Linked DNA regions of Drosophila melanogaster. Each later gene encodes a partner of the first gene's protein in a complex. Each region holds a gene or a part of one and is shown in the gene's direction. Other genes may lie near its edges. The genes, in order: CCDC53, wash, Strump and FAM21.

Region 1 (5,813 bases):
ACTGCATCGTGTACGATACGGAGACGGGCAAGCAGGTGGTGCGTCTGGAGGCGGCGCAGGAGATGTCTGGCAACACGGGGAAGTTCATTAACAAGGTGGTGTCACACCCAACGCTACCCATTACGATAACCGCGCACGAGGATCGTCACATCCGCTTCTGGGACAACACATCCGGCACGCTGGTACACTCCATGGTGGCGCATTTAGAGCCGGTCACCTCGCTGGCCGTCGATGCTCATGGCCTGTATTTGCTATCCGGCTCGCACGACTGCTCGATACGGCTGTGGAACCTGGACAATAAGACGTGCGTGCAGGAGATCACAGCGCATCGCAAGAAGTTTGACGAGAGCATATTCGATGTGGCCTTCCATGCCACAAAGCCGTACATTGCTAGTGCCGGGGCCGATGGCCTCGCCAAGGTCTTTGTCTAAAAGAGGCGAGACGAGACGAGACGAGACAGACAGACCCACATCTCCCTGGCCGCGTCGGATCGAACGAATTCAGAATTCGGAATCCAGAGTGCATATGCAGAGTGCAGAGTGCAGAATCCACAGCCAGTAACTCACAGCTAAGCGATTGCGAGTTCGAGTTAAATAATTATACATACATTATAAATATACTATACATATAAATCTAATTATACTTCAACCGAGAACAACAACCAATTATATGCATACAATAATAAGAAAGGGAAAAGAGAACACAACATAAACATACAAATAATTGCTAAAAAAAAAAAAAAAAAAACACACAAACAAAACAAAAAAAATTAAATAAATTCAAAATGAGAAACGGCATTTCGAGCAGAGCAAACAGAGTCAAGTAAATGTAACAGACGAGAGTCGCGTAATCTAGTAACGTAATTCTAAAGCAATGCATAATAATACGGCAAATAACCACAAATAAGTGCAACCCACGGACATTATGTATTTGTTCAAAATAACAACGTAGCAATGAAAAAGTTTGATCTTGTCGTGGATCTTTATTTTGCCCACCAGTTGGCGGGATCAACCCAAGATCGATCCTCTTTTCGGTTCTAGTTTTAATAGCACTTGCACAGCGATTGTTCTTAACCAAGTCGGCCTATATAAATCAGTCAGACTTCCTGTACATTTTATATACATACACAAACCACACATATATATATATTGAAACTTATTCTATGCCCATGGCAAATCTTGAATGTGGAGCATCTGACATAGGCACTCTCGCTGTGCAAGTGCCAGGATACACACGTATCCTTCGCTGCTGGCGAAGGAAAGTGTATTGAAACATTTACGTAACGATTAAAACGATGTAGACGATCAAATTCTGTAGACTAAGCAAGGGCATATACATACATATAACCAAACAATATAACCCGACCCCATATTAGCGAAAGAGCGAGAAAAAATTGTAAATTAACATTAATTAGAGGACAGTCGAGGTGAGACTTTGATGAACGGCGGCCGGGTTTATATACGCAGGTAGCAAGTCAAAACACACACACACACGCGAAAATTGTATTTAACAATTGGTACATGCAGAATGCTTATATAATTTCAATTGTCATTACCAAGGGGAGTACGCAATGCTTGATGGATTAACCACGACCATGTGAGGATGAGATATAAATAATAACTGCAGGCAAGCTATAAACGTATGCTAAGCTATTTATTTAATTTATGCCTAGTATTAACGAATGAAAGAAAGTTACAAACAAACAAAACAAACAAAATGTTGGCGCCAATCGCTGATCCAATGGATTTCGTAGTTGAATATAAATAGATTCGCTTACCATGGATGCGTACTCGTAATTTTAATCAAGTAAATTAATAACACGATGAATGAACAGATTTAGATATGTGACTTGAACGTGAACGCCGAGCAACTCAATATTAGTTTTTAGTATTACCAATTATTATTATATTATTATTACAAATTACATTTACGTGAGCCTTTCACCGACCGACACTCTCCACAAACCTTAAAAACACCCAAAAACTTGATATTCGAAACCGACGAATCAGAATCAAAAACGATTGCGATCTGTGTACACCAAGCAAATCCTCTATTATTTAAATTACGTATTTTAATTTACGCCTTAGTTGTTACAATCGAGAATCCGAATCGCCTTTTGGATTACCGCGGTGATCCGAAACTCTGATGAGCCGATGATGAATGATAATGGTAATAATTAAAATAGTTGTGGACGACCATCGGGGGCAGCCACTCACATATACATATATATATATATATATGTATATATATATACATAAAACTATTGATTTCTAATTTTAACTGTAAATTCTTGATTTTTTATTACCGTGTATTTTTATTTTAAATAAAGTTTTACAAAAAGAAGCCCTGTGACTTGCGTCTGCCTTTTGATTTCTCACAATTCTCACAAACAGCGCACAAACTATTCAGATTCAGTGATGAGAACGTTGTAGACCAGCTGGTTCTCGTTTGCAACGGTGGCAAAAGTTAATAACTTTCACTTGGCATTTTCATTTTCGAACCGTTCTCGCTGCTGGCAGCATTTTTGATTTCTTAACTCAGTTTTGCGAACTACACCGCACAGAATTGAAAGCATTTTCGTTTCTACAAACCATTACAAATCCACTGCCGACAAACACAAGCTGCACGCATGCGTTTTGTTTCAACAAAGACCGAGAATTCGGATCAGCAATGAAATTCTCAAAAAAAAAAAAATTGCTAACAAAAAGTAATGTAATTCTCCAAACAAATACAAATACAAATAATAAATAAAACGCGGATCCGATTTGGCATTCCAACTAATACTTAAGCCGCAGAAAGCGACGCCGAGATGGGCACGATAAGCATTATTTAACTAAGTCAAAATAAAAGTTCATTGTAGATTTGAGCATAGTGAGAAGGTCCCAGGTCCTAATGGAACACCCAGCACATAAGTTTATACATACATATATAAATAATAATGTCAAAGGAAATGCATATTAACTGAACGATACTTTTATAATAAATTGACGAAGAAGTGCATAATACTCGGAGAAATAACATTCACACATTTCATGTTAAGATACAATAAAGTGAATAAATAAAATATTTAAAACAAAATGGTGGATTTGTTGTTGAATGGGTTTCTAAGCTATAACTATGTATTTATGTATATTATTCGTTTTTTTTCACTTTAAAAATGAAATTTCAAAACATTTAAATATGCACACAAGTTTTTTGAAAGAAACTTCAGTTCTATTTCATTTTTAAACTAGGCGCCAAGTTAACTGTGTTAAGTTACGTGAGAAATACCAAATTTTTGGATCAGCTTGATGTTGAGCGAACAATATTTAGTATCGTCAGTCAGCCTGGCAACCCAGAAAAGTACTAAAATAAAAGACGGCTGGTGAAAATAAAATAATGGATGCAACTGCAGCAATCACCGGCAATGTGGACAAGACCCAGGTATGGGACTTATATTCAAGGGTGAACTGCACCTGCAGCTCTCAACTCTGTTCCTCCAGATACCGCCGCTGAACCAGAAACGCATCCTGGCCTTCGTTAACCATTTCCTCGTCAGCACCTGCACCTTTCTAAATGAATTTGCCCTGGGCTGTGAGACGAAGTTCGTGGAGATGGAACGGCAGCTGCAGAAGACGGAGGCCGCCCTCATCATCCTGGAGGCCAAGCTGGCGTCTATACCCACCGAGCACCATGTAGCGACTGAGGCTACCGAAGCGCCAGCGATATCAAACCAGCAACGCAACGAAGAAGCATCCATGGTGGACACCACGGAACCACCGACCACCGAGAATCCTACGGAGCCGGAACTCCCGCCTGAATCGGTTGGTGTGCGCGCCTGTGAAGATCAACGTTACAGAAAGTTCTTCAAAATGGTGCAAGTGGGTGTGCCCGCACCGGCGGTTAAGCAGAAAATGCAATCCGAAGGTCTGGAGCCGCGTATTTTAGAGTAAGTTCCGTGGAGAGGTTTGGCCAAATTGAAAGCTCATCAAGCTCATTTCCATTGCAGCACACCCGATCTGATCCTGGCGGATGGCCAGCGAGAGTGAGCTGCCTGGCGCAGAGCGTGATCTGATCTTGTGATATAGCACATGTTGCTACACCTTGCAATTAAACATTTTTTAAAGCTTACGTCTACAAGTTTATTTTGTTTTATTTGCCGCCGTGCAGCGACGCGAAAACAACATAAAACCACTTCGTTAGCGAAAAAAGGATTTTTAATGGTGTAAAGAAGGTGCCTAGAACTGGATCATCTGTCCCTTGCGCTTCTTGTCACCGCCCAGCTCGAAGTGCTTGCAACGCTTCAGGGGAGTCTGCTTGCGGTATTTGCACTCGGTGCACTCCATACGCAGCACAATCTTCTTGGTGGTCTTGGCCTAAAATGGAATTAGAACTCCAGTTAGCAAGCGGCATACAAATGGTGGTCATGAATTCATTTGGATTGTCTGAAGTTGCCGGTGGGGCGTTGTGGGCATGGATGCCACACAACGTTGCCTTCACGGCCGCACCAGTGCAACAACAGTTTTGATCTGGCACAGTTTTTTCCCACCAAAAAGCATAATGCTCAACGAGCGCAGCGATTTAGTTCTACGAAGCGCCATTCCAGGGATTCCAATCTAGCCGCCATTAGTGTCGATGGCAATCCGGCGGCAAGCGATCCCGGTAGCATTAGACGAATGGGGGCACTTACCTTCTTCCTGAAGATGGGCTTGGTCTGACCTCCGAAACCCTGCTGTTTCCTGTCGTAACGACGCCTGCCCTGAGCTCCCTTGCGCTCCTTGGACTTCTTGTACTGCGTCACCTTGTGCAGCTTGTGGACCTTGCACTTCTTGCAGAAGGTGCGGCGTTGTTTCGGTACGTTCACCTGGAAAACACACAAATCCCATTAGTACAAAATTCCTTGGGCAGCGACACCGAATTTTTAAGCCGAACAGCAACGCACTTGTTGGCCGTCGCGATCCGCGATAGACCACTCCTTGGGTCAATCATTTCGGTATTCCCGCTCTTTTGGCGGAATCACTTAATTTCGGGCATAACAATTGCGGATGTTCAACGATTTCGGGAAACGCTTACCATCTTGATTTCGTGAAGGCGAAAAAAGAAGGAAATCACATAGCGATGGCAGCGTGCCGTCAAGCCATGCGCTATCGATAGGTTTTCGTTTCATTGTTGTGACTTGATATGCATATCGATGTTTGTATAGTTCTTAAGCACTGTTTAAACTATTTTCTACTTTTTGAAGTAAAATCAATTGTTTTTACATTTGTTTTGAATGTGCATATATTGAAACTTAGTACAGAAGAATACTATTATTATTAGTTAATGAAGTTTGTAAACGCCTTATCAATTAGGTATACCATGTTTGTTTGTTTTATGTATTTTTAGTGTCACGAAACTTTATCTGCGAACCTACGTATAATACATTTTTGCCCCACATTAATTATTTTCAAGTAATTTTTAATGTTCATGGAACTGAATGCTTGGTTTTTTCATCGATCTCCACAGAAATATGCTAATAAAATGACAAAATAATATATTTCATATATAATATTTCGATATCTTAACGGTCACTTGATGCTGAGCGCTGCCAGATCAATCAGATTTTAAGAAAATACCAAAAAGTGAAAGTGGCATTGCCATCGAGGGCGAAACATATGTTTTGTTTTGCTCGCGACTTGCAGCGATAGGCGGCGACAAGCAACGTCGTTATCGAAGACCGATAGGGCCCGATACAAAAAAAAAATAAATCGAAATATTTTCAACAATTTTCTGTGGAAAATAATTGGAAATATAGCGAATCTCCAGCAGCCGAAACCGGATGCGCTGGTGGCCCG
Region 2 (6,818 bases), on another chromosome or scaffold:
ACGAACAACACCCGCGTCAAGCCTCATCTCTATGTACATCTGTATTAATTGTTTAATTTTATTAATCCACAAGTTCTTTGGAAAAGAAGAAAATTACATTAAACAAGGGGCTATCCCTGTTCAAATACACTAAAACGAAACTAAGACATCGACTAGACTTTCTTGCCATTGATGGTGGTTAGCTGCTTGCGATTGATTTGATCGAAGAAGAGCAATCCCGCCGAGCGTTCCACGCTCTCTGGCGGCACCTGAAACACACTGATGGGAGTGTCGTTGCTGATCACCTGATTGGGCATCACGTACGACTCCATGTGGAGTTTGTGGTCCGCGGACTCGCCCACAATAACCTTGTAGAAGTGGGTGGGAACAGCCACGGTGTTGGCGCCGATGACCTCGTACTTGACATACGATTTCCCATCGTCCTCCTTGTGCGGTAGGTACAGTGGACCCGTACAGACGTACACATTGGAGTAGGTCTTGGTCAGTCTGCGCACGTGTGCCTCCAGCGTGTTCCAGGCATCCCGGTTGAAGCCCTGGCCCACCTGTGGCGCCATGTTCGATAGGTAGAAGGTTTCGTCGCAGTGCTTCTGGTGCAGTCGGTGATTTCCAGCGGCGGCCATGTGCCCGCGATCATAGCCCGATCGTCGGTAGTCCGTGTTCTGTGACCTGAAGAACGGATGGATGCTCTCGTCCTGCTTGAAATCGCACTTCGATCTGTCCACGGCATCGTTCTTCGCCACCGACTCTGCCGTAAGGTGCTCGAACACCCAGTGGGGCACCCGGTTCCTCCGATCGTAAGACAGCACGTAGTCCGAATGGGAGCGCACGTGATCGAGTCCGGGAAATCCATACTTCATGATCTGTCCGATCCGAGACGGAGTTGCCGTCAAGCTTACATTGTTCTCTTGGGCGGGAATCAAACTGGCAGCCGAAACAGTTCCAAAGGTGGGCAGACCAGGCAGCCGCGGAAGGCCACTTGTGGAGCCATTGTGCTGGCGTTCGCGTTCCACGTGGGTGCCCAGATAAAAGGCGCCCAGGGCGGTGGCACCCAAAGCTAATACGCCACCCACTCGAGGAGCACTCATTTTGGCAGTTTTATTTAAAAATCTGGACAAAAAGACCAGATAGCGACCGCTATTGCACAATTCAGGTACTTTAGTGTGACCACAGTTTAAAGTGGTCGAACGAACTACAGTGAAAGACATAAATATATGCACGGATTGCTAAATTTGCTTGGGAAAATAAGTAAGTATACTATGTATATTTCATTAATGTATTAATAACTTAAAAAGGCGACGTGTGAGCTTTAACCGTAGCCCAAGTCGCAAATGGTGGTACTTACCAATTCCATATAGATAGATGGGCTTCGTGAACAGCAAGATATCCGAGCTCGAATAACTCGTCGTGGCAGTTCAAAATTCCAGGGCTGGATATCCCCTCGTCTTATGTGCTCTAATACACACTCGGCGTGTAGCAGGTTGTAAGAAATTCGCGTTTAAAATCAAATAACTTAGTGGGCGCTGCCATGTTTTAAAATTTATTCGATAACCGATCCCCGACTTAAAAGGAAAAGTGTGACCATCAATTTATAAAATTTAGCTTATATTTTGTAAAAAAATTGTTGCTTCTTTGTTTAGGAATTTTTAAGAAAAAGCAATTGTGTCGCAGAACAAAACGATGGCTAAAACAGTAATTTTAAAAAGGCATACAACACATATAAAATTATTTTTAAGGTTAAAGAAAGATTTTTATAACAGAATTAAAATCTTCTAATTTTAAAGCAATATTAGGCGAACCCAAATACATGCCATTGTACAATGTAGAATTTAATGTTAAATCATCTCTATGTTAAAATAACAAAATATAAACATTGTCAATTGGAAGAACGATTCAAAATAAGCAACTCGACCTAGATGAATGAAATAGTACAATACATGCCATTTTGTTGCTGAATGATAAGCTAAGATTTTGTTGAATTTTGGCTTAGTTGCATTCGGAAATATATTTACAACATTTTGAGCACACCCTCCAAGCACCCAATTTATAACCAGACTTTCTTATCTCAAACCCAAGCCAAAGATATTACATTGTATTGTGTGTATAAAATCCGAAGAAGGGGCATTTATTTCGCTAAAGATGCGCGTGGAATCGTGAACTACATGTAATCTCTTTCCGGTCCGGGGGCCACCTGCCGCTTTCTAGGATCCCACGATGATGTTGTTAATGGGAATGTGAATCAGCTTGACGAAGAAGCCGATGAAGCCCATGATGGCGAAGCCCACGGCGGTGGCGATGGCGATTTTCTGGAACTCCTTGCGGTCGGGTTTTGTGCAGCGCTTCACCAGGCGGATTGAGTCCTTGGCGAAGGCGCGTCCGGGTTCGGCGAATTTGACAACCTTGTCCATTTTTGATTTGTGAGTATTTAACTAAGAATTACCAATGAACTGAATTGATATTTATTTTGCTGCCGTGTCGCTTCTTGCAGTGTTACCAAGTTCCTCAGCTCAAAACATACTAAAAATTAACGCCTTTCCTTTAGTTGTTAATAAATTTTTTTTTTGGTTGAAATATAAGTGTATTTGAATTATTTTAATTTATTTTGAGTTTTTCTTTAAATTGAACCCATTCAATTATTACTTTGAAGCAAATCATTTAATGAACAGTTTTTAACAATTGATTTGGGCACACTACCCTACCCTAGCGTCGATGGAGGAACGGTGGATTTTTGAACATATGGACGTTTTCTATTTATTTATTTTTTCGTCATTTGGAAGTGAATTCCAAATTCCGTGCTCCGGAATGGCGTGCTTATAGGCTTACATTTGCCTAATTTAGTAATGATCCTGAATAAATGATCCCCTGATTAAAAAAGTTCTCCTAACAGTGGGATGAGTTTGAAAGGTATTTAAAAATGCCGCCTTCTCTAGTAGAAGTACTACAGCCGATCCGTGTCCTTAACTGCTTTATTAACAGTAATAGTTTTGGGAGACACCGCAGTTTATCTGAGGGTTAGTTTATCTGAAGGTTAGTTTGTTTCCTGGTGGTTTGTTTATCTGGTTAGCTTATCTGGGGTCTAGTTTACCTGAATGATAATTTACGTGGGAGTTAGTGTAACTGAGGGTTCAGTTGACTGGTGTTTCGTTTAGCTAGGGGTTAGTTAATCTGAGGTTTCGTAATTTTAAAAGAAATCCATTTAATTATTACTTTGAACCAAATCATTTTTAACATCTTGTAAAGCTTTTAGAGTTGGTCACACTACCATGAACAGCAGTAAAATTGCAAATAAATATGTAATTATTTGGCGATAGAAAAATGGAGGAGTCACCTTACCTGCACAGCCCCTACCAGGTGGCCATTATAGCCACCGACCTGCACCACGAGGATACCATAATCCAAGCAGCCCAGTCCCTGGACTGTCTACACAAAACCATAAACTCGATTTTCGAGCGAATCGATGCCCGCTTGGCGAGAAATGGTTCAAAGGTTGAGGACATAAACAATCGTGTGAAGCGCGCTCAGGCAAAAATCGATGCGCTCGTTGGCTCCAAGCGGGCCATCCAGATCTTTGCACCCGCCCGCTTTCCGGCCAGCGACGTCCTGGCACCGCTGCCAGCCACCTTTCCACAGGTGGCAGCCAATCCCCTAATGGAGCAGCAAGTGGACCAGCTCCCGCAAGGGACGTACAGCAGTCACAGTGCCGCGGACCAGAAGCCGGATGATGCGGACATCTTTTTCCATGTACGTGGCGATCGGGAGCAGGAATCGCCACTGGTCGCCGAACGGAAGATAACCAATCGGACCGCTGGCCTGGGCATCCTGCCTGCGGGTGGAGTGCGCTCCGTACCCTCGCTCATGCGATTCAATACCAATGAGTTCGCCTACGGCGAGGATCTGAATGCCTGGAAGCGATCCCTACCGCCGCAAAATGCTCGACGCGTTGCCAGTCAGTCCACTCAACTCACGGGAGAAAAGCAGCTCGCTCCGGCACCTCATTCGCTGGCCCACGGCACCACCAAACTGGCCACTCCAGCTGGGGACCTGCGCTACAATCCTGCTGCTTTGGCTGCACCCGCCATTGATGTTCCGCTGGACCTGCCCGACCTACCGGGCATAGCGAATGATCTGCAATATGAGCCAGTGGAGGAGCAAACACCAATAGCGCCTTCCCAGCAGTTCGGTGATTTACCAGAGCTGCCGGATTTGGGCCTCGAGGAGCAGGATATAATAGTGCAAGCCATCGCGGCACAGACGCACATTCCGGGACCGGTGCGTAGGAAGAGTGTGGGACAATGTCCTTCGCCAGTTACGGCGGCACCACCGCCTCCTCCTCCGCCACCACCGCCGCCTCCACCTCCTCCACCAGCGCAGACGAGCGCAATTCCATCACCGCCACCCTTTCCCACCAAAGGAGCTGTGAAACCGCTCTCCCCGTCGTTAGCAACACCTCTTAACATGCCGCAGCCGCCTCCAGCTACTGAAGATCCGCGATCTGAGCTTATGGCCGCCATAAGAAACGCCGGTGGAGTGCATGGCGGTCGTCTGCGGTCGCCTGCGGCTGCGCCGCTCGACGTGGTGGACAACAGTCGCTCCAAGGCGGGAGGCGCTGTCACGGGGGATTTGATGGCAGACCTGCATAACAAGCTAATGCTGCGACGCAAGGGAATTTCTGGGAGCCAGAATCCCGTGGAGGCCACTGCTGGCAATCCCCTGATGCAGCAGCTCTCCCGCGTCATACCGCCGCCGGTGCAGCCCCGCAAGGGATCTAAGTCGAGTGACGAACACTCCGAGGACGACGAGGATGGGTGGAACTAGTGAATATTTAGCTTTAGTACCGGTTTAAGTGCCTTGGCTGGCTTAAAGCACTAGCAACCTAGGTTCTCTAGCTTAAAGCATACAAATTTCTAAAACGAATTCCAAATTCTGTGCCCAAGCGAGCATGCCAAATTAGGTCAAAGTCAACCAGTTGAATAAAACTACATATTAGCAGAAATGTGTGTAATTTCTTATTGAGAACATTGGCTAACTTTAATTGATAAAATTACAGGACAATGAAACATTTTGTGATGCTAAATGAAATAAAACAATTCTTTATACTGACTAAAATAAACTCGATATTAAATTATAATAAAACACTAAATTCTAGTTTTAGATAACAGCTATTTTCCTATTTGAAATAAACGAATTTCCCTGTTAAATCCTTAACAGCGCTGTTGTGTTGCTCTCTGCCAGTGCTGTAAAATGCCGCAGTGGAATCACATTTCGGGTAAAAACAAATTGAAATATCCACCGAATTTAAATATTAAAGTTAGAGAAGCTGCCAAATATCTGGAGTTACAATCAGGGACAAGGACAAGGACTACTACACTAGAGGAGAGCTTTTACAAGCAATCCGGTGAAACCACATATAATGACAAGTCCGTCGCGGGATATAAACGATCTTTTTGACGATATTGTCCTGACCGAGGAGAAGGAGGCACGTTTGGGCTACGAGGAGGGACTGAAGGACGGCCAGGAGCAGGGCAACGAAGAGGGCTATAAATTGGGCTACGCCCAGGGAGTATCCCTAGGCGAGGAGCTCGGCAAGATTCTGGGCCAGGTGGTGGCCCAGCAGCAGCTGAAACACACGGACAAGGTGCGTCGCAGCTTGGAACAGTTGCGTTCGCTCATCGAGGAGTTTCCCCGCACCAACGATCCGCAGGCGGACATAGTGGGTGCTGTGCAGGACATTCGCTCCTCCCATCGTCGCCTTCGCGCCCAGCTGGGATCCAAAAAAACGCCTGGTGCAGCGCCTGCAGAGACCAATTCTGTCGAGCACAAGGACTACAGCTTCTAGCCTTATAGCACCATGTCCAAGGTGGGAGTTGTGCAGTTGCAGAGGCGTCTGGATGGCTTACTGGCCTTCCTCAATCCGCACTGGGATTTTGTCAATTGCCACATGGTGAACTACTTGACGGACCAGCACTGGGACGGCTTTTTATCCGAAACGCTGAAAAGTGAGATCGCCGGCAAGGAAGATGTGGCTCTGGCCATAGAAGACCTATTTTGGAAAACTGATGAATCAGAAAGGTTTCCGGCATGGCGAGAATTCCTAGGCAAGAGCAAACAAGAACGCCTGTCGCTTCAGAGGGTCAGGGGAACTCCACGCAGCTAAGCATTCGGGAGTTTATGAGCGCCAAAAAGTGCCATGAGGTAAGTAAACCAACCATTTTAAATGAGAGTATTTTAGGAATTGATTAATCTCTCCGATTAGGTGGATCTAACAGCCGTTCTCGTGGACCAGCTTGTGAAGAACTCCGGTCAAGATTGCTTCATTGTAGACGCGGGCGATGGCAAAGGGTATTTATCCTCGCGCTTGGCGCTCCAGTATGGTCACCGCGTGCTCGGCATCGATGCGAACGCGGCAAACACCGAGAACGCATTGAATAGGAATCGCAAATTGCAGGTAGGCCGGGCTTACAAAATAAAGTTAGCTTTATTTCATTACGTTTGTAGACTTAGAAGTAAGGTGTGGGTGTATGTAGGTGAATCCATTGGCTAGTCGCGCATTTCGCCCTCCTCGTCGTCGTCCTCCATGCCCTTGATATACAGCACGTTGTTGCAGCGGATGAGCACCTCGCCAAGATTACCAGTCACGGAGCCCTCGATCACTTCCTCCGTGTTCGCCAGCTGCATGTTCATGTAGCCGTCGACGGAGACCAGGAAGCCCTTGTACTCCTGGCCCCACTTCAGCTTCACCAGCACCGGTTTTCCCGTCAGGCCGTTCAGGAAGGGCTTGGGGTTAATGGGCATACCAGCCGACATTCTGTTTATTTGATTTT
Region 3 (9,162 bases), on another chromosome or scaffold:
GATATCGAAGCAGCCACCGAATATTCGGTTGCCTACGGCCCCGCGTCTCGTCAACACTGGAGGAATTCGCACCCAGATACCCTCGTTGCAGGTGCCTGGTCAGGCGGTAAGTTTAACTTATCATTTATTTATTTTATATATTAAATTTTTATTTTATGAAAACTTTGATTTATCAATATAAAATAAACATATCGTTTCAATATTGATTTGCAGAACATTGTGCAAATACGTGGACCGCAGCATGCTCAGCTGCAGCGTACTGGATCGGTCCAGATCCGGGCCACCACTCGTCCGCCAAACAGTGTGCCCACCGCGAACAAACTCACTGCCGTCAAGGTGGGACAGACGCAAATCAAAGCGATTACGCCCAGCCTGCATCCACCCTCGCTGGCGGCAATCTCAGGTGGACCACCGCCGACACCCACGCTGTCTGTTTTGTCTACGTTGAACTCCGCCTCGACCACAACGCTGCCCATACCATCGTTACCCACGGTCCACCTTCCCCCCGAAGCTCTTCGAGCCCGTGAGCAGATGCAAAATTCGCTGAACCACAACAGCAATCACTTCGATGCAAAACTGGTGGAGATCAAGGCGCCGTCGCTGCATCCGCCGCACATGGAGCGGATCAACGCATCTCTCACACCGATTGGAGCCAAGACGATGGCAAGGCCGCCGCCTGCGATCAACAAGGCGATAGGCAAAAAGAAACGCGACGCCATGGAAATGGACGCCAAATTGAACACATCGAGCGGAGGAGCGGCGTCCGCTGCGAACTCGTTTTTCCAGCAGAGCTCCATGTCCTCGATGTACGGTGACGATGATATCAACGATGTTGCCGCCATGGGAGGTGTTAACTTGGCGGAGGAGTCGCAGCGAATTCTCGGCTGTACCGAAAACATCGGCACGCAGATTCGATCCTGCAAAGATGAGGTATTTCTCAATCTCCCCTCGCTGCAAGCTAGAATACGGGCAATTACTTCGGAGGCGGGACTGGATGAGCCGTCGCAGGATGTGGCCGTTCTGATATCGCACGCCTGTCAGGAGCGCCTGAAGAACATCGTTGAGAAGTTGGCTGTGATAGCGGAGCACCGCATTGATGTCATCAAGGTTTGTTGGAAATGGTTTTATATTCAAATGAAAATATTGATTTCCTATTTCTTACAGTTGGATCCACGCTATGAGCCCGCCAAGGATGTGCGCGGTCAGATCAAGTTTCTCGAGGAGCTGGACAAGGCCGAGCAGAAGCGACACGAGGAACTGGAGCGTGAGATGCTGCTGCGGGCAGCCAAGTCACGGTCGAGGGTGGAAGATCCCGAGCAGGCCAAGATGAAGGCGAGGGTGTGTTCGCAATCGTCTTTCTCTGTAGCCGTTTACTTAAGTCTTTCTCTTGTTGTTTAGGCCAAGGAGATGCAACGCGCCGAAATGGAGGAGTTGCGTCAACGAGATGCCAATCTGACGGCGCTGCAGGCGATTGGACCTCGGAAAAAGCTGAAGCTAGACGGCGAAACAGTCAGTTCGGGAGCGGTATGTATGGTGCAATTATACAAAAAGATAGTGTCTAAAATTTAGGATAGTTGACTACCAGAACGGTTATTAATTAAGCTGTGTTTATCCAAAAAGGGTTCAAGTGGCGGCGGAGTGCTAAGCAGCTCGGGATCTGCGCCGACGACGTTACGGCCTCGCATAAAACGTGTGAACCTGCGCGACATGCTCTTCTACATGGAGCAAGAGCGGGAGTTCTGTCGCAGTTCCATGCTGTTCAAGACATACCTCAAGTGATCGCTGCTGTTGCCCATCAATCGCACCGTCTTCTCCTCGCCGATCCTCCTACTCCGTGGACTGTCGTGTTGTTGTTTTATACAGCTTTACGATTTCATCCACTTGCAATATATTTTAGCCTCAACTTTAAATGCGTCGCGTGTCCCCTGTTGTTGTTTCTTTTTAGTTAGGCGGCTCTATTTAATTTCTATTTTTACATTTATTTACATAAATCCTAAATTCTAATCGTATTTGATTTTAAGCCTAATTTAAAGCTCGTTTATTTTTCCAATAAATTCTCTGTAAAACTTAAACCAAACCAATCCAAAAACAAAACAAAACCAGAGTAAACGAAGAGAATAAAATAATAGAGAGGAAAGTAAAAGAAGGTAAAAGAGAGCGCGCAGTCAGCGGGCGTTTGATTTGTAATTTGTAACATAATAATGTTTGCATCAACTGCATTGACGGCCTTATCTAAACGATATAAACATAATTATTAATATTTAATTATTTAGCTTAGTTTGTTAAACGAAAACGAACCATAATTCCTAGATTTTAAGTAAAAAGCAAGGGCGCGTGAAGAGAAATCGAAACCGAATTACAGATAAAGGTTTTTAAAACCAACTAGATCGAAACAAGTTCAGCAACAGCAAAACAAAAGAACACATCAAAAAAAGAACCGAAAAATATCCATTTAAACATCCATTGAATTAGGTTTAGTTGTTTAAAAAAGATGTAATTTTTAATTACCCATAATGTATAAACGGAAATCAATCGTTAGGCAAGACCACAACAAACCCAACAAATTGTAAATACATTCTAGGCTACGGTTTTTCTAATAGATAACTAGGTAAAAACGCAAACGTAATTAACAAATTATCGATGGCAAGGAGCGATGCGAGCGCAGACAACTTGGCACACCGAAAAAATATGTTTTTATTAGTGGCGCTCGTTCATCCATTAAGAATGGCGATTCATTAGGCTCCATAGATCCATAAATCCCCTAATCCAATCTGAACTACACACAAAATAGACAAATTTTATACAATTAGCTCGATAAATCTTGTAAAATAGAGTCCCGTAAAAAAATTATAACAAATAAATTGACAACAATTGATGTAATTCAGTAAACCTAAGCAAAAAGTGAAACCATTCTAAGCAAATTCTTTGTGTGTAAAAATTAATATGATAAACAAAATGCAGATGCAACCGTAAACAGCGCATAGTTTGGTAGGCATATAACTGAATATATATATATTATTATTATTATGTTTTAACATTAAGCAAAAAAATAAAAGAAAAAATTGAGAAAACTTCAACTGAGCACGGAGAATTATTAGCTGGGAATATGCAGAATTTATTTTAGTGCGCAGTGTTTGCTTATGCATATTATTATTTTATGTCGTATGGAATATGTAACGGTATCTCAGTTAATTAGCTAGTTAAATCATTACAATTTATGTAGTTGAATTAATTAATTTTATTAATATTTTTATATTCATTTATTATGTTAATTAATCCTACTGAAACTTTGTGTAGCTCCCATAGAATGAAAATCTAACACAAAATAAATAGAACCAAATTCACGTTTGGATTCAACCAGAAACACATAACGAATTGGCAATTTTCTTAATGTCGTATTACAACTTGCTTTCTTTTTTAAATTTTAAAATTGAAATCGTGAATCTAAAGTCGGAAACCATTAGATCTTCCATCATTATTGCACTTTAATGCATCGAATAGAGTTATTAAGCCAATATTATAATTTTATTATTCAATACAATAGTAGTTTCATATCTCATTTTAATAAATTTAATAATTGTTATTAAATTATGTACCTCATAGGTTGTTATCATCAGTTTCTCACTTCAAATTTATGCGCCAACATTTCGAAGTTCATGGTAACTCTATAACAACAAAATAGTGTGACCGGACTTATGTAAGATTACTGCAGATAATACACTAGTGCAAAAAAGAATTGATATGACTAAATGAATAGACAATATAAACAAACAATAACATAATTCGTGGACTGATAAAAAGTATGTACAGCTTTAATTAATAATGTGATTATACAAATTAAGCTTTCTCCAGAGAGGCATTTGTTAGAATCACAGAAATCAAGGAAATGCATAATGAGTTTTCTGGATGACAATAATGCCTGTGGGCAGAATCTGCTGAATATAGTGTCGGTGGGTAATTCTATAATAGCAGAGATCCTGCGCCTCAAGGACTACGTGCCCAGTATTTATAGGTAACATAGATTAAAAACCTGCAATTAATGAATAATTGGTGACCACTCCTCCCCAGATTGGACAACAAAGCTGATAAGGCGAAATATGGCGAGCTTATTCTGGATTTCAGCTACTTCAAGATAGCCGAAGATCACGAGAGGAGGATCGAACAAAGTCCGGTAATTTGATGTTAATATACCCGAGACCACACCGTATTAAACACCCTGATTTCCTTCAGGAACTGACCGAACTCGATGATGAGGCACGTGCCCAGCTTCCGCTAATCACACGATTTTACCTGGCCTTCCAGAGCATCCATCACTATGCCTCCGATCTCCAGCAATATATCGAGGAATTGAACACTGGCTACTATATCCAGCAGACGCTGGAGACGGTACTTCAGGAGGAGGAGGGCCGCCAACTGCTCTGCGAATCCCTGTATCTCTTTGGTGTGATTCTCCTCATGGTCGATTTTCACATTCCGGGGGATGTGAGAGAACGTCTGCTGATCGCCTACTATCGGTATAGTGGAGGAGATGCAACGCCTAGCGGAGACGAGAGTAATATCCATGATGTTTGTCTCCTGCTCCGATCTACGGGCTATGTTCATCCGTCGATTGCCGCTAAAGTGCTCGGTTTGGGTGGCAAACAGGCAGGCGCTAGAGCTGCTAGCCTTGTGGTTCCCCGATACCCGGAGGCCTACTTCTCTCGCTTCCGTTTCGATGAGAATTTCGTGGATCTAGTGGTGGCTCGTCTGCGGTGCGATGATATATACAACCAACTGAACCTGTATCCACATCCTGCCCATCGCTCCACGGCTCTGTCTACTCAGGCGGCCATGCTGTATGTGTGCTTGTATTTCTGCCCGCAAGTTCTTCATTCCCAAGGCTCACAGATGCGCGAAATTGTGGACAAGTTCTTTTGCGACAACTGGACCATATCCGTGTACATGGGCATGACAGTGAATCTGGTGGATGCCTGGTTGGATTTCAAAGCCGCTCGATCTGCTATTGAAAATGTGATAAGTCCACCGGCAATCAAAGCACTCTGTCAGCAGCAAAAGGAGCAATTGGGCAAGATCACTCAAAAAACCCAGGAGATTGTTCGTGAAGGAGTTCTAAATGACAACTTTGTTTTGGAGCACGCCAACAAAATCATACACCTGATGAGGCAATCCAATGTCCTGCTCCGCTGGTTTTGCCTGCACACCTCAAGGGAAGTTTTCATCTTTGCTCACACAGCTACTTTGACGGGTCAAGTGCAAAAATGTGTGCTCCACGAACTACAATTCAATCGGAATACGCTGTATAACTTACTGCTTAACTGCAGCCAAATGGAGCTGAGCGTGAGGGAGTTCCTGGCAGAGATTCAGCAGACTAAGGAGGAGCGCTGGACGAAAAGCAGAGAGGAGGCCATGCAAAGGCTCAATGAGTTGAGCGAAGCCTTTGCCGGCTCCAGGCCTTTGTCCAAGATTGAACAGAATCCTCAGTTGCAGCAATGGTTTGGCGAAGTTGCTGGACGTCTCCAGAAACTGGAATTGAGCAGGCCCCAAAAGTCCGGAAGGCTGATTATTCAGGTGATGCAAGCACTGGACGATGTGCAGGAGTATCACAACCTTCATTCCAACATGCTGGTGAAGCAGCAACTACAGGAGACGCGAGACATGCTCAATCAAATGGCACAGCTAATAAACCTGAAGGAAGACATTGAGATTCACATCCAGATGATCACTGACTTCAGCTATGCTTGGCATCTACTGCAGTTTGACTTCACTCCTCCCATGCAGGAACACATCAAAAGACAGCCACAGGCGGTAATAGGTATACGAGCGGTCTTTCTCAAGTTGGCCAGCACCCTGGAGGTGCCGCTGATGCGGATCAATCAGGCCAGAAGCGAGGATCTGGTCTCTGTGTCAAACTATTACAGCACCGAGCTAGCAAACTTCCTGCGCCGCGTTCTGCAAATTGTTCCAGAGACCATGTTCAGTATTCTGGCTAAGATCATCTATCTCCTTACGAATGTTATCAAGGAGTTTCCCACTAAAGTGGAGAAGGAGCGTCTAAAGGACTATGCCCAGTTTGAGGAGCGGGCCAAGGTGGCTCAGCTTACAAACTCCATTGCTGTTTTTACGAAGGGAATTCTTATGATGAAAACAACTCTAGTGGGAGTAATCGAGCTGGATCCTAAACAACTATTGGAGGATGGGATACGCAAGGAGCTTGTAAATCATCTGGCAAATGCCTACAATCTGGGCCTAATATTTACGCCCGAGAAAGGCAAGACTCCTGTGCAGCTTCTTCAACAAAAACTGCAAGCTCTGGCGAAAACAATAGAGGGATATCGAAGATCCTTCGAATATATAGAGGACTACTTAAGAGTTCAGGGACTTCGAATCCTGCTGGAGGAATCGCAACGCATTATTAACTACAATGTGGAGAAGGAATGCAATGCCTTCCTCCGCAACAAAGTGCAGGAATTTCAATCGGAGCACCAGAGCCAGATCATACCCATTCCCAACTTTCCACCGCTGTTGGGAGATCCGTCTAACAACTTCATTGGCCGTCTGGCCCACGAAATTCTGCGGTGCACAGATCCCAAGCAAACTATTTTTCTGGATCTAAAAAGCACTTGGTATGAGAAGAAGGCTCCTCACCAGGAAGTTCTTGCCGGCTCTGGATTCTTTGAGATACTTAGAGAAGCCTTGGCTCCGGCAGGAATGGTGGGATTGGAGCGCCTCTACGCTCACATGTTGGCTGATGAGTTAAAGCGCAACTTGGAACGGTTACAGCGTAACCTGACCTCGGATCGTATGTGGGTGGATACGTTAGCGGCACTGACTCGGGAATTGGAGGCCCGGGACTTCCCAACTCCGGAGGTGTCCAAGCAGCCTTTGAAGTATTATCAAGCTTACACCCAACGATGGCTGAAAGTGTGGCCCACGCTGTTGGATTGGGTTTTGTGCATTGGACAGAAGCAGCTGCTCCGCAGAGAAATTGCAGGAGAGCTAAGCTTTAGCAGTAAATGTGATGCCAAGTTGCTGGAGAACACGGCGGACACCCTGAACAAGTAAGTCAAACTATAACATCCTAAAAATATTTATATATTTGCAATCTCTTCCGCAAACAGAGCCCTTTTACTAGAACTGTCTCTCAGCAAGGATCTCTGTGATGAAAAGGGTGTGGTCATGTTGACAGAACTGCAGGAAACCCTGCTCTATACGGGAAACTTTGAGCCCCTAGAGCAAGTCTTCCTTATCACAAAGAACACCCATAACATGGCCCTCTTTATGTTTCTTTTCACCATTGCCCATTTGGGTCGTATGCAGCATTCCACGATTACCGATTGTCTGTTGCCAAAATCAGCCAAAGATAACATTGATAATGTGCCTTTTATTGTGGGTCTAGTAACGATCTTGCAGCAGTTCCACAAGAATGTCAAGATGCTGTATATATCCTACATGAGTCAGTACGTGGTGACTGTATCGGAGGCTCAGTTACTGTAAGTACTTTAGTTACAAGATAATCCACGAATATCAGATGACATACACTTTTCTTTATTAGGGATAAAGAAATCCTGGGTCCCGAGGTGGTCACCGCCCTGCACTTTCTTCTAGCCTTTATACGCATTGCTCGTTTGCCACTCGGAGTTCTGGAGCAGCGCATTCCCAACATAATACTTAGCGAGTACGAGTATTTATCCACACTGCTAAAATGAAAACTAACCAACAGGTTTGGGCTACACAAACTTTAATAAATCCGAAACATAACAAGGAAATGCCTCGCTGAGGTACAAGAGGAGATTGTAGTTGGATGGGTTGGTAATCTCAGTGTTCCTTCGCTGACAGGAACTCTTTACGTGATAACCGTTGGAGCGTTGCGTCCAGTGAACTTGGGCAGCTGAGAGATCTCCAGGGCGATGTCGATCAAGGGTTTCAGCATCACGCTGGCCTGGCCCAAAACATTCTCCTTCTCATAGGAATCAATGTACAAGCTGAAAAGGAACAATTCATCTATTATTGAAAAGAATTGTTTGATATTAAATCTCATCGTGACTCACCGAACGGTTGCTCCCGAGCTTCCAGTTCCACTGAGGCGCACCACAATGCGGCTGCCATCCTCGAACACAATGCGCAGACCCTGTTTCGTGGCCACCGACTTGTCGACAGGATCTGTGTAGCTGAAGTTGTCGGCCTCCTTGACCTTGTAGGTTTTTCCGCCGCTGGAATAGCTCTTGCCGACGAACTCCGGAGCAGTTATGGTCTTCTCCATGGTGGCCACCATCTCGTTGCAAGGATCGGAAGCGCACTCCTCATAATCGTAGCGGGTGAAATAGTTGCGTCCATACACAGACCAGTGCTGCTTCAGGATGTCTTCGATGCCTTTACCCGTGTGCTGCATCACGGAGATCCAAGCGAGAACCGCCCAGATGCCATCCTTTTCGCGGATGTGATTGGAGCCAGTTCCGAAGCTCTCCTCTCCGCACAGACACAACCTTCCGGCGTCCATGAGATTACCGAAGTACTTCCATCCAGTGGGAACCTCAAACACTTCCTTGCCCAACTTTCTGCCCACCAAATCCACAGCGGATGCAGTTGGCATACTGCGGGCGAATCCTTGAACACCATTCTTTTGGAAGTACGGTATGGCCTCCAGGTAGTGGGCAATTACCGCCAGCGAGTCGCTGGGAGTTACGAAGAACGCCTTGCTGCCAATGATCATGTTGCGGTCACCATCTCCATCGAAGGCAGCTCCAATGTCATAGTCTCCCTGGGCGACAGTGTCAACCAGGTCCTTGGCGTATGTGAGATTTGGGTCAGGATGCAGACCACCAAAGTCGGGCAGTGGAGTGGTGTGGACCACCGATGATTCGGTGGCACCCAACCGGTTCAGGAAGATCTCGCGCACATATGAGCCAGTTACTCCGTTCATTGCATCGATGCGCATCTTCAGAGGCTTTCCAGTGGCTTTGCCACTTACGAAGTCCTTCAGCTTGGCGAAGTCGAAGATTTCCTCCATGTGGCGCACATAGTTGGCCACCGAATCGATCACCTCCACGGTAAAGGGCTTTCCGGCGATGTCGAACGAGGTTACACCAACCTTTGAGATGTCGATCTGCAGGTTGCGCACCAGCTTGTACTCCTTGATCTCGGTGGTGATCTTGTAGATGTGGT
Region 4 (9,823 bases), on another chromosome or scaffold:
ACCGCGGTCACCGAGTTACCAAAACCCTGTTGCGGGCGAAGTTCTCACCCATGGAGCAGACAGGGCAACGCTACATTTACACAGGCTGTGCCACCGGACGTATTATAAGTGAGTTCACACCTTTATCTTGCAGTATTTCTCTGATTTTCTTTCACAAGGCTATCTAAAATACATTTTCTAGCCAGTAAGTTCGCCAAGTATTTTTAGAAATTCTCTATCCATCAAAAATTTGGTTGTGAAACCAAAGGCCATTTCTGTGTTTCCGTTGATAAACATATTATGTTTTCAAAATAATCCAATTTTCTTACAGTTTATGATGTACTTACTGGTAAGATTCAAGAGGCTATTGAAGGACATAGGACTGTGATAAGAGATCTGGACTGGCATCCGGATCGCTCAGAAATCGTGTCTGGCTCGGTAAGCATCGAAATATGAGTAATATTCCTCTGAATAATAATGCACACTCAACTGCCTACGCAGTGGGACACCCATGTTCACCTGAACAACTTCAGCCGCAGCAACGCCAATCGTCCGGTAAAGCGATCACATAGCTCGGATCATGACAAAAAGCCCCTGAGAAGATCACGACGTTTGGCGAATCGAAATGTTACACCGGACTAGTTGTAAGGTTTAGAGTATAAGCTAGTAAGGTCCCCTTTGATATTACATTTCGTTACATTCATTCATAGTGGCTTGCCTAAGCGACGCACGAGAATATTCACCACAGTCGGGCCGGCTGGGATAATTGGTTCTATTAAATAAGACTGAAGAATATGTCACTCACTTGAAATGTATAGTTCAGTTTAATTAGTTAGCGTGTTATACAAAACAGTACATTAAAATGTAAACCATGAAGCTTACCAACTACCTACTTAAGTTGTTTATGTACAAAAACAATCATAATAAGAATCACGTTGAAATATATTTCGTTTGCTCGATCTAAATTCCTTGAAAGGCGACTCTCTTCTTGACCGCTCGTATGCTAGTTCTTTGCACCCTTACCGGATACTTGCTATGCTGTTTGCTTTTAAAATGCTCAACGGCTTTGTTTTTCCAAAGGTTGCGAATGCGCGTTTCATCGTAAGGACAGTCCACCACATTTAGCTCGACGTTTTCGCTGATTCCGTAGCCCACGATCTCGCCCAGCGACGAATTGTGAAACGCACTCATGTCGAACAATTGAAATTGGTCTGCACAGAATTTAGAGATATTAAAATGATTGAATGATTTGAGTTTTTCTTGGATCTCTTCCAGGGATAAGAGGTCCTTAGGCAGGTCTTCATCGGCTGACTGAACGCTTTTATTGCCGGAATTATTCTTGTCAGCACTTACGTCGTTCCTATCTTCGCCTCCTGTGTCCTTTCGATTATCGACAGCCGCCTCCACGGCGAGCGCAAATGAGGTGATCTCCAGTTTAGTCGAGGGCTCCGCAGACGATTTTAATTTGGATTTCTTCTTCGATTTCTTTTCAGTAGCTTCCGAGGCGGGAGGTGTTTCTTCTAAATCTTTTTCATCATTGTCCTTACGCTTCTCTTCCTTGGATTTCTTTTTCTTCTTAGACGGAGCTTCGGCTGTTAAATCTATGGTAATTTCTTCCTGAATTTGAGTGGTTTCTTGACTGTCCTTAGATTTACTTTTATTTTTAGTTCTATTTTCATTCGAAGTATGCGATTCATTATTTCTGTGTAAGTCGTCATCATCGATTACAATTACTTCGTCGGATTTCTTAGACTTTTTCTTTTTTTTCGCAGCTGGTTCTTCTATCGAATCTTCTGCAATCTCCTTATTTTTATCTGACTTTCTTTTCTTTTTTTGGTCACTCTCTTCTGTTTGTATCGACACTTCTGCTGATTCCTCCTCTTTTTTGGACTTTTTCTTTTTGGAGGAAGTCCTTTCACTTTCCTCAGTGATTTCCGCCATCTCTACGCAGTTGTTGTCCGTCTTCTCGGTTTCATCGACAGACGATCGCTTAGATTTCTTCTTTTTCTTAAGTTTGGGAACGTCCTGCTCGATTTCTTCCACAGCAGTTGGTTGCTCGCTAGTCCTTTCTTTGCTTTTAACTAATTTTTCCTCAACAAAGTTGTTCTCCGACTGCTCAATTTCATCGAGAGACGATCCCTTCGATTTCTTCTTTTTCTTAAGCTTGGGAGCGTCCTGCTCGATTTCTTCCACAGCAGTGGGTTGCTCGTCAGTCCTTTCTTCGCTTTCAACTAATTTTTCTTCATCAAGGGATGATCGCTTTGATTTCTTCTTTTTCTTAGGCATGGAAGCAACCTGCTCTGGTTCTTCCTCTTTAGTTGGTGGCTCGTCTGCCCTCTCCTTGTCTTTCTTTTTTTTCTTTTTCTTGGAAGTCACTTCATCATTATCTGCTGAAATCTGTTCAAACTTTTCAGCATGACCATTGGTCTGTGCCTCGTTGTTGTCTTCAACTTGGGAGCCTTTCTTTAGTCTGTTTTTCATGGCTTCCATTTTCTGCTTGAAATAATCAGTGGTCGACAGGCCCGTGACAATTGTCTGCACGCCAGCGAAGTTGGGGTTTGGCTCCTCGGGTTGGACAGCCAGCACGGGTTCTGGATATCTCTCGACGTCCTCAGTTGCCTTCTTGCCGAATATATTGGCTAGATCCTTTTCGCTGTACAGAGCCAAGTCCTTGCCGCGTGTGAACTTCTTATAGTGGACGCGTGCCCTGCTCTGCTTCGACCGCTCCTCCAGCGACATTCCACTGGTGTTCTCCTTGAGTTTCTTCTTAGACGGCTCCTCCGGTTCAATGGCTTTGAAGCCAAAGCCCATAGGTCTGGCCTCCTCTTCGGACTCCGGCTCTTTGTCTATGCCGCCGCTATCTTCCCCATTTAGCGACTTAAGCAGCCCATTGAAGCCATCCTCGTGTACAGTCCACTGATCATCGCGCTGCTCGAAACCCAATCCTTCTGCGTCATTTTTAAAGCGAATGCGCACAAAATCCTTTTCGCCATTCAGATTGGCGCCCAGGCCACTGCCTTTCGTCCAGCCCATTTTCTCCAGCATTTTGGTACCGAAGCGATTTTCATCTGTTAAAGTTTAAGAATTTACGATTTACCAGTCACATTTGGAGTTTAATGCTCACCTTCATAGAGAGCCTTGCCGCGCGGACACAAGTTGTACTTTTTGCGCCGACGTGGTTCAGCCAGCATAGCCATTTTAGTCTATAATTATTTATAATCTACTTCGTTTTAAATGTAAATTGCGGATAACTAACAAAGATACAATTCGTAAATTGCGAACAACCCAACACGTGCTATCAAATATCGATAGCAAGTTTAAACAAGATATATCGATAGCGATTGTCGAAACAGCTGCTCAGCAGGCTTAGGGATGAGCGTTGGCTGTGCGCTGATAACAGGTGATTAACTATCGCTCATCTCTATTTGGGTGTCATTACTAAGTTTGTTGTTGTTGCTCTTAATTAGTTGTTATTATTTTCTGACTTGCGAGCTTGCAGTCGACTGATAATGGATATAAGCGCGGATGTGGATCAGATAATAGCCCAGGCTCCGGACTGGACCTTCGCGGGCGACTGTGCTCTGCTGGCGCTGATGAAGCGCATTTCCCAGGTTAAATTCACATACGTGCATAGATAACAAGCCAATTTGATAAAATTTTTGCAACAGAATCTGGAAGAAAGGGGCGAAAGGACCAGCCGCAATCTGCGAGACTTTGAGACGAGCGTGAAGCAAGTGGATATAGCGCTGAACAATGCCACTACCAGCCTGCGATCCCTGCAGTTTGGAAATCAGTTCGTGGAGTATCGGGTGGAGGAAGTGGATGACGCAGATTTGGCCATGCCCGAAGAGAAGAAAAAGAAGGTGCAATAAGCGATGGAATTTTGCAGGCTGCTGTGTTTACAGATCTTAATATGCTTGCAGCCAGAGCTGCCGCTCAAGAGTTCCGAGGAATTGGCAAAGGAGTTTCTGGAAAACAACCTTCGTATGTTCCGCAAAAACTACGAGCCGGTGACCATAGAAGTGCCCGATTCGGATGATGAGGATGGCCCCGTCCACTCAACGTAAGTGACTACACTACGATTCCGATCCATACTAACTCCACTTTCCACAGAACCGTATTCCGTGCTAAGAATCCCTATGATGCGATACCTTTGCCCTATATTATTGGTACCAAAGAGTGGCAGGAACACAAGTATGCCGGGTTGTATGACAGTAAGGAGAATAGTGAAGATGACAGATCCGAGGAATTCTCCTCAAGCTCATCGGACGAAAAGGAACCCGAGACCAAAAAAATAGCAACGCCAGCGAACAAATTAGAAGAACAGCATCTGTCTGACTCCTCTTCCCTAGCCTCGTTTGCCAGGGAACCGGCAATCGTGTCGCCAGTCATTAACCCTGCTGTTCAGGTAGCAGAGCCTGTCATCAGAACACAACCGCGTCCAATTATAAACAGTCAAAGGAATCCACATGAGAGGGACATGTTTGCTGCCCTCCGGCAATCGCCGCCTAGCGACGACCCGCCATCCACATCGTCATCGCCTACATCTTCACCAGCCTTTAGGAATCCATCAAGTCGCCTTCCAATCGTATCTACTGCATCGCTTAGTTCCAGTAGCAGTAGTCCTGCCCAACAACCTCCTCGACTCTTCGACGAAGCTGTTTCAACCCAAACTCCGAAGGAGGCTGAGATCAAGCCAAGCCAAACAAAGCGCATGCCAGTTAATCTTTTTAACGAAGATGAGTTTAAATCCTTCATGTCCGAAATCGTGGACAAAGTCCAGTCAAAAACACCCAGCAGCTCCGTCTCCCCAGCAACGACAATTTCAACAAAAGAACCACCCAAAACTAAAAAACCCGTGGAAGAATATCCAAAGCCAGGGCCGCCAAAGCAGATTGTTGAGCAGACAGTTCCAAAACGTGTAAACCTCTTCGACGACAGTCCTCCATTGAGTCCAACTCCGAGGTCAGAGCCTGTTTTTAATAATACTAAAGCAACGGGTGCAATACCAAAACGGAGTCCAGTTGTAGTGGCCAATAATGATGAAGATAACTCGCTTTTTGGTAGTTCTCCTGCCATGCCAAAGGAAAATCCTTCCAAAAAGCCACCTAAACCGGTAACCAAATCTCTATTCGATGATGACTTGGAGGACGACGACTTCTTGAGCTCCTTTACGCCCAAAGCAAAGCCACCAGAACAAAAACTGCTCTCAAAACCAAAGCCCTCCTTATTTGATGATGATGATTTGGATATCGATGATATATTTACGAAACCATCTGCTCAACCGAAAAAGCTATCTGAAAGAGTAGCTGGAAAGACAAGTTTGTTTGAAGACGATGATCAAGATGATGTCACTGATTTGTTTGGTTCGAAAAAGGCAAAGGTAATTCCAAAGGAGACGTCTTCGGGAGTTTCGCCCAACAAAAATGTTGAAACACCTGTAGCTTCAAAGAAAAGTCTCTTTGATGATATTGAAGATGAGGATTTGTTTGGAACCCCAAAGGCTAAGAACTTAATTAGAAGTGAACCAGATAATGATCCTGAAGCAGTTGGAGAAGATAAGAAACAAAGTGAGATTGCAGAACAGAAATCCAAGAATATAGAAACTGGAGAAAAGCAGCATCAAGTAATAGCAGAAAATGCATCTGTGCCTATTCTCAGAGATTCACCTCCTCCCATGGAAGTTACGGAACAAAAGTCTGATGATAAAGAATGGGAGGCGGTTAAGGATGATACATCAGCAGCAAATATTACCAAATCTAAAGATTTGTTCAGTGAAGACTTAACCGACGATGAGCTATTCTCTAGTACTTCAAATAATATGGCTGAGCCAAAAAGTGCTAATGAAACTAATGAATTTAACAAACCAATTGAAAAATATACTTCGCAAACTGAGGAAAATGTATCCCCAGTGAATCCTCCTACAAAACTATCTATCAAACCAACTGATTTGTTTAACGAAGATTTTAGCGATGATGATACATTTTTGAGTGCATCTATGTCCAAGAATGAGCCATTAGTTGGTACAGAAAACGAAGATATTAAAAAACCATCTGAGGTGCAGCTGGTGAAAGAGATTAAAGCAGAAGAATTGCCACAGCAACTGCCAGAGAACAAAATATATGAAATAACAGCTGTCGTTGAAAAGGATGAACTGGTGCCCGAAATGTTAAGTAAGCCTCAAATAGATGAACCCGTTTCGGAAACTCCACCACCAGACGATTATCAAAGCAACGTAGATCCCATTATATCAATGGTGGCTGATGTCACCAATAAAACATCAGTGGATACACTTACCCCGCGAAAGCCGGCGGATTTGGCTGCTGCGCAGCAAATCATGCAAAATTACTCGAATCTCTTTTCCGACGAACCGCCGGATGACAGTGAATTCTTTCAAACGCTTGGCAGCAGCGGTCTCAGCAGCCTAAGTGCCTCCAAAATCTTTGACAACGAGCACGACTTCTTCGAACCCGCTCTGCCAAACATTCCCAGTGCGACAAAGCCATCTCCAGTGACGCCGGGGGATCAACCTTCTGTGTCGTCTGACTACGGTGCCATGTGCTTGTTTAGTGATGTGCCACCCGAAGATAACGATCATGCAGGCGAAGAAGTGCAGAAGGAAGCTGAACCTCAGAAGGACGAACTAGCGTCAACCACCCGAATACACACAATCTTCTACGATGATTTCAGTGAGACTGCAAGGGCAGGAGCAGTGCAGCCAGCGCCCAAACGCTTCCCTTTCGATGACGAGCCACCGCCAGCTGATGAAACTGATCGTAGTGAAGTTAAGGAGACGCCTGAATTGCAGAAACCCACTTCGCCCGTTAAGAAGCTGAAAATGCCTAATATTAACATCAATGTACATGCCCTTCTTCCGGGTTCTGGTAGCGTGCCAAAGCTGATCAGGAAACAAGAATCATCGAGTTCCGAGAGAGATGAACCTCAAGCGACAGTTCAGACTGAGGCTGAGGCACCAAGTTCTGGACAAAACACTGTTTCTTCTGCAGACGGTGTCCTGCAGCATGTGAACAAATCTCGCGCTCGTGGACCTGCCAAAAGGCGACCATCTACCAGAAGAGGAAGAAAGGAAAACTATGCCAAAAGCTTATTGGATGCTGGGCAAAATGAAGGCCCAACAGCTTCGACTAGAGATAGCCCAGAAGTTGAACACTCTGAGCGAAGTTCCATTAAGGCACCCTCTCCTCAGTATGTTAAACCTGAAAAGCTGTTTTCAACCCCAGCCCAGCAAATTCAGCCGCAGCTCCAAAGACCGCCGCCATCTAACACTGGTGGCTCATTTCTGGACAGCCCCGATGAGGATGATTCCTTTTTTAATTCCGTCCCGACAAAAACAGTTGAGGGAAAGCAGGGTACTGATCCGCCGAAGTCATATCGCTCGTTTTTGGACAGCCCTGATGCAGATGATAAGCTTTTCAGTGATCTTGAAAATAACAAGGCGGGTATCAATGTAGTTCCAGTAGAAAAGAAGCCGCCAAAGATGGCAAACTCATTTTTGGCCAGCCCAGATGAAGATGATTTCCTATTTGATTCTGTAAAAACAAATGCAACTACTACCGCGCAAAAAGCATTTGCAGCAGAAATCATGAATGCTTTTCAAAAAGTCACAACTGCTCCTCCGAAACCATCGAATGCCAAGGAGGCTGCTAAACCCAAGTCACAGGCTGCGCCGAAACTGTTTGATGATAGCGACGACGATGATGATGATCTGTTTGCCAGAGCTCCTAGTATCCAAACCGCCAGCAAGCCCGTCCAAGCTAAACAGCCCCCCAAACCAGCGGCGACTTCTCTTTTCAGCAGCGATGATGAGGAAGCCGAAGTGCCTGTAAAGAGTGCTCCTGCTAAGAAGTTGCCAGTGAAACCAAGCAAAAGTCTCTTTAGCGACGACGACGACGATGATGACCTGTTCGGAGGAAGCTCCACGTCCAAAGCAGCTGCTGCCAAAAAGACCAAACCCGCGGCCAGGACAGCAAGTAAACCACCTGCCAGTAAAACCACCACGCCCACTGCTACCATTCCATCAAACTCCGGTGATAATCCATTGGCCGATCTTCTTGATTTCAAGTGAGAAAACAGTTACGCCTTTTATTACAAGTATGTACACTTTTTGATCTGTGGATGGTTAGACTGTCGATCAGAGTATTGTTATTCGTATTCCTATTAACTATAATAAACAATGAATGTCAATGTTCATTTGTGTTCGATTCTTAGAACTAGACTTGGGCAATTTTCATACAGTGCCTCTCTTATTGGGGGGGTATGCTTTTTGATATTTGTTTGTTTTAGAAATATCTATTTATATTTTTGAGTACGTCTGATATTTCGTGATATTTACTATTACGATTACTTTTATTTGCATATAAAATTATATCCCCATGGAGTCTCATATTTAGTACACTTTTATTTGCAAATAGGTCGTGTTATTCAGTAAAGCAAATAAAACTGAATGCAGACCCATTTAAGCTACAAATTGACTGGCGCATAAACGCGCTATACGATTCTCGCAGTGTAACGTTAGTCTACGAACTGAAACTGAGTTAGTTTGTGGCTCTTTGGTCGTTATTCCGAGGAATCTCATTCTAGATCGAGCATATCCTACAACTAGTGAGCTTAACCTAAACGCTGACTGATGATCGATTGGGATCCGGTTTCCAGAACCAAAAAAACGGACTCAAAGAGCCACATCGCGGTACTTCCGGTAATCGTCGGACTCGTTGCCCAGCGACAACTTGCTGTTGGCCGTGATGTACGGATTGGTGTAGTTGGCATAGCCAAAGCCCCCGTAATACTGCATCTGCTGGCTGTGCGTGGAGCCGCGTCGCTGCATCGGCTGGGCCAGCACGGTGCCGGCGAATCCGCCAGTGGAGCTGCAATTGGATGGCCTGCGGTAAATGCCGCCAGCCTGCTGGTGGTGCAGCTGTTGCTGCTGCTGCTGGTGAAGCAGCATGGCCAGGTAATACTGCTGCTGCTGCGTGTAGTTCTGGAGTAGATTGTTCCCGTAGGCGGTCAGATCATTCTGCACCTTGCTGATCCCGTCAAGGTTCTCCAGGGATACGCAATTCCGGGACAGTTTACCCGGTGGTGGCTGCTTGTGTGTGCCGCGTGGACGATGGTGGCTCCTCTGCTGTGCCGGTGGCGGTGTCAACTGCTTGGGCTCAATGGAGCAGTAGATGGGATCGTTGCTGGTGGAACCGATCAGCGAAGGCGGCGATGGTCGGTGCGAGTCGTGGAGATTGTTCTTCAAATCGTCGATGGTGATGTTGAAGTACTTGGCGTTTTTATCCTCCGTATCGAGCACATGTCGTGGATTGTACATGCCGGGCAGAGTGCAGCGCAGATCCATCAGCGACTGGGCGCGATGACCACCACCTGCTCCGCCTGTTCCGCCGCGCTGCATCAACGTGGCATTGTTGAACTGCTGTGCCAATGCGGGTGCAAACATGCTGGCGTTGAATTCGTTCTGCGAGCCAAATGCTTGACTGCCTCCACACTGGTTGTTCATGCCCAGTCCCATTCCTGGCCCTAGTGGCAACTTGGAAGCTGTTTCATCGCACAGCTGGTAGCCGGCATTCTCGAATCCACTTAGCCGCTGGCTGGATCGCCGGGAATCTGCCTTTGTAATGGGCACACTGGGCGCTGGAGTCTGCAGGGAAAGTCTGGTGGCCAATCCTTGCAGCTGACTCAACACCTGAGTCTCCCGTCGCCACCTGATGCCCGTGGGAATCACACAGATCAGCGCGAAGCAGTTGATGATGAGGCGAATCAGGTAGGAGGTGAGCTCCGTTAATCCATGCACAGATTGCAGACCCTAATGTTTTAGTCGTAT

Evidence for each region.
Region 2: CCDC53 (region 1) and wash share a complex: the UniProt entries of both Drosophila melanogaster proteins name them as parts of the WASH complex.
Region 3: CCDC53 (region 1) and Strump share a complex: the UniProt entries of both Drosophila melanogaster proteins name them as parts of the WASH complex.
Region 4: CCDC53 (region 1) and FAM21 share a complex: the UniProt entries of both Drosophila melanogaster proteins name them as parts of the WASH complex.

What each region holds. Positions count from the first base shown.
Region 1 is NT_033779.5:8,037,771-8,043,583, forward strand, and holds CCDC53 (Coiled-coil domain containing 53), read left to right. Parts: upstream 1-3,335; 5' UTR 3,336-3,378; coding exon 3,379-3,423; intron 3,424-3,482; coding exon 3,483-3,928; intron 3,929-3,988; coding exon 3,989-4,028; 3' UTR 4,029-4,109; downstream 4,110-5,813. Other genes in the region: Cka (connector of kinase to AP-1), read left to right, coding at 1-431; RpL36A (ribosomal protein L36A), read right to left, coding at 4,218-4,355, 4,670-4,843, 5,053-5,055. UniProt on the Drosophila melanogaster protein: Acts at least in part as component of the WASH complex which may regulate wash nucleation-promoting factor (NPF) activity and is required for its membrane targeting during endosomal sorting.
Region 2 is NT_033778.4:12,177,389-12,184,206, forward strand, and holds wash (washout), read left to right. Parts: upstream 1-3,104; 5' UTR 3,105-3,152; intron 3,153-3,234; exon of another isoform or gene 3,235-3,237; 5' UTR 3,238-3,312; coding exon 3,313-4,812; 3' UTR 4,813-4,985; downstream 4,986-6,818. Other genes in the region: EndoG (endonuclease G), read right to left, coding at 153-1,085; CG8860 (uncharacterized protein), read right to left, coding at 2,199-2,405; CG13175 (uncharacterized protein), read left to right, coding at 5,408-5,833; small ribonucleoprotein particle protein SmF, read right to left, coding at 6,535-6,801. UniProt on the Drosophila melanogaster protein: Acts as a nucleation-promoting factor by activating the Arp2/3 complex to induce actin polymerization. Participates in both linear- and branched-actin networks.
Region 3 is NT_037436.4:16,118,294-16,127,455, forward strand, and holds Strump (strumpellin), read left to right. Parts: upstream 1-3,708; 5' UTR 3,709-3,800; exon of another isoform or gene 3,801-3,852; 5' UTR 3,853-3,893; coding exon 3,894-4,012; intron 4,013-4,068; coding exon 4,069-4,171; intron 4,172-4,230; coding exon 4,231-7,058; intron 7,059-7,118; coding exon 7,119-7,490; intron 7,491-7,552; coding exon 7,553-7,706; 3' UTR 7,707-7,759; downstream 7,760-9,162. Other genes in the region: Taf4 (TBP-associated factor 4), read left to right, coding at 1-106, 214-1,107, 1,165-1,338, 1,399-1,524, 1,621-1,779; Pgm1 (phosphoglucose mutase 1), read right to left, coding at 7,844-7,982, 8,049-9,162. UniProt on the Drosophila melanogaster protein: Acts at least in part as component of the WASH complex which may regulate wash nucleation-promoting factor (NPF) activity and is required for its membrane targeting during endosomal sorting.
Region 4 is NT_033778.4:20,620,128-20,629,950, forward strand, and holds FAM21 (family with sequence similarity 21), read left to right. Parts: upstream 1-3,419; 5' UTR 3,420-3,488; coding exon 3,489-3,590; intron 3,591-3,647; coding exon 3,648-3,842; intron 3,843-3,902; coding exon 3,903-4,042; intron 4,043-4,092; coding exon 4,093-8,065; 3' UTR 8,066-8,188; downstream 8,189-9,823. Other genes in the region: CG9945 (uncharacterized protein), read left to right, coding at 1-108, 311-417, 481-621; CG11180 (uncharacterized protein), read right to left, coding at 940-3,047, 3,104-3,176; Rcd6 (reduction in Cnn dots 6), read right to left, coding at 8,669-9,805. UniProt on the Drosophila melanogaster protein: Acts at least in part as component of the WASH complex which may regulate wash nucleation-promoting factor (NPF) activity and is required for its membrane targeting during endosomal sorting.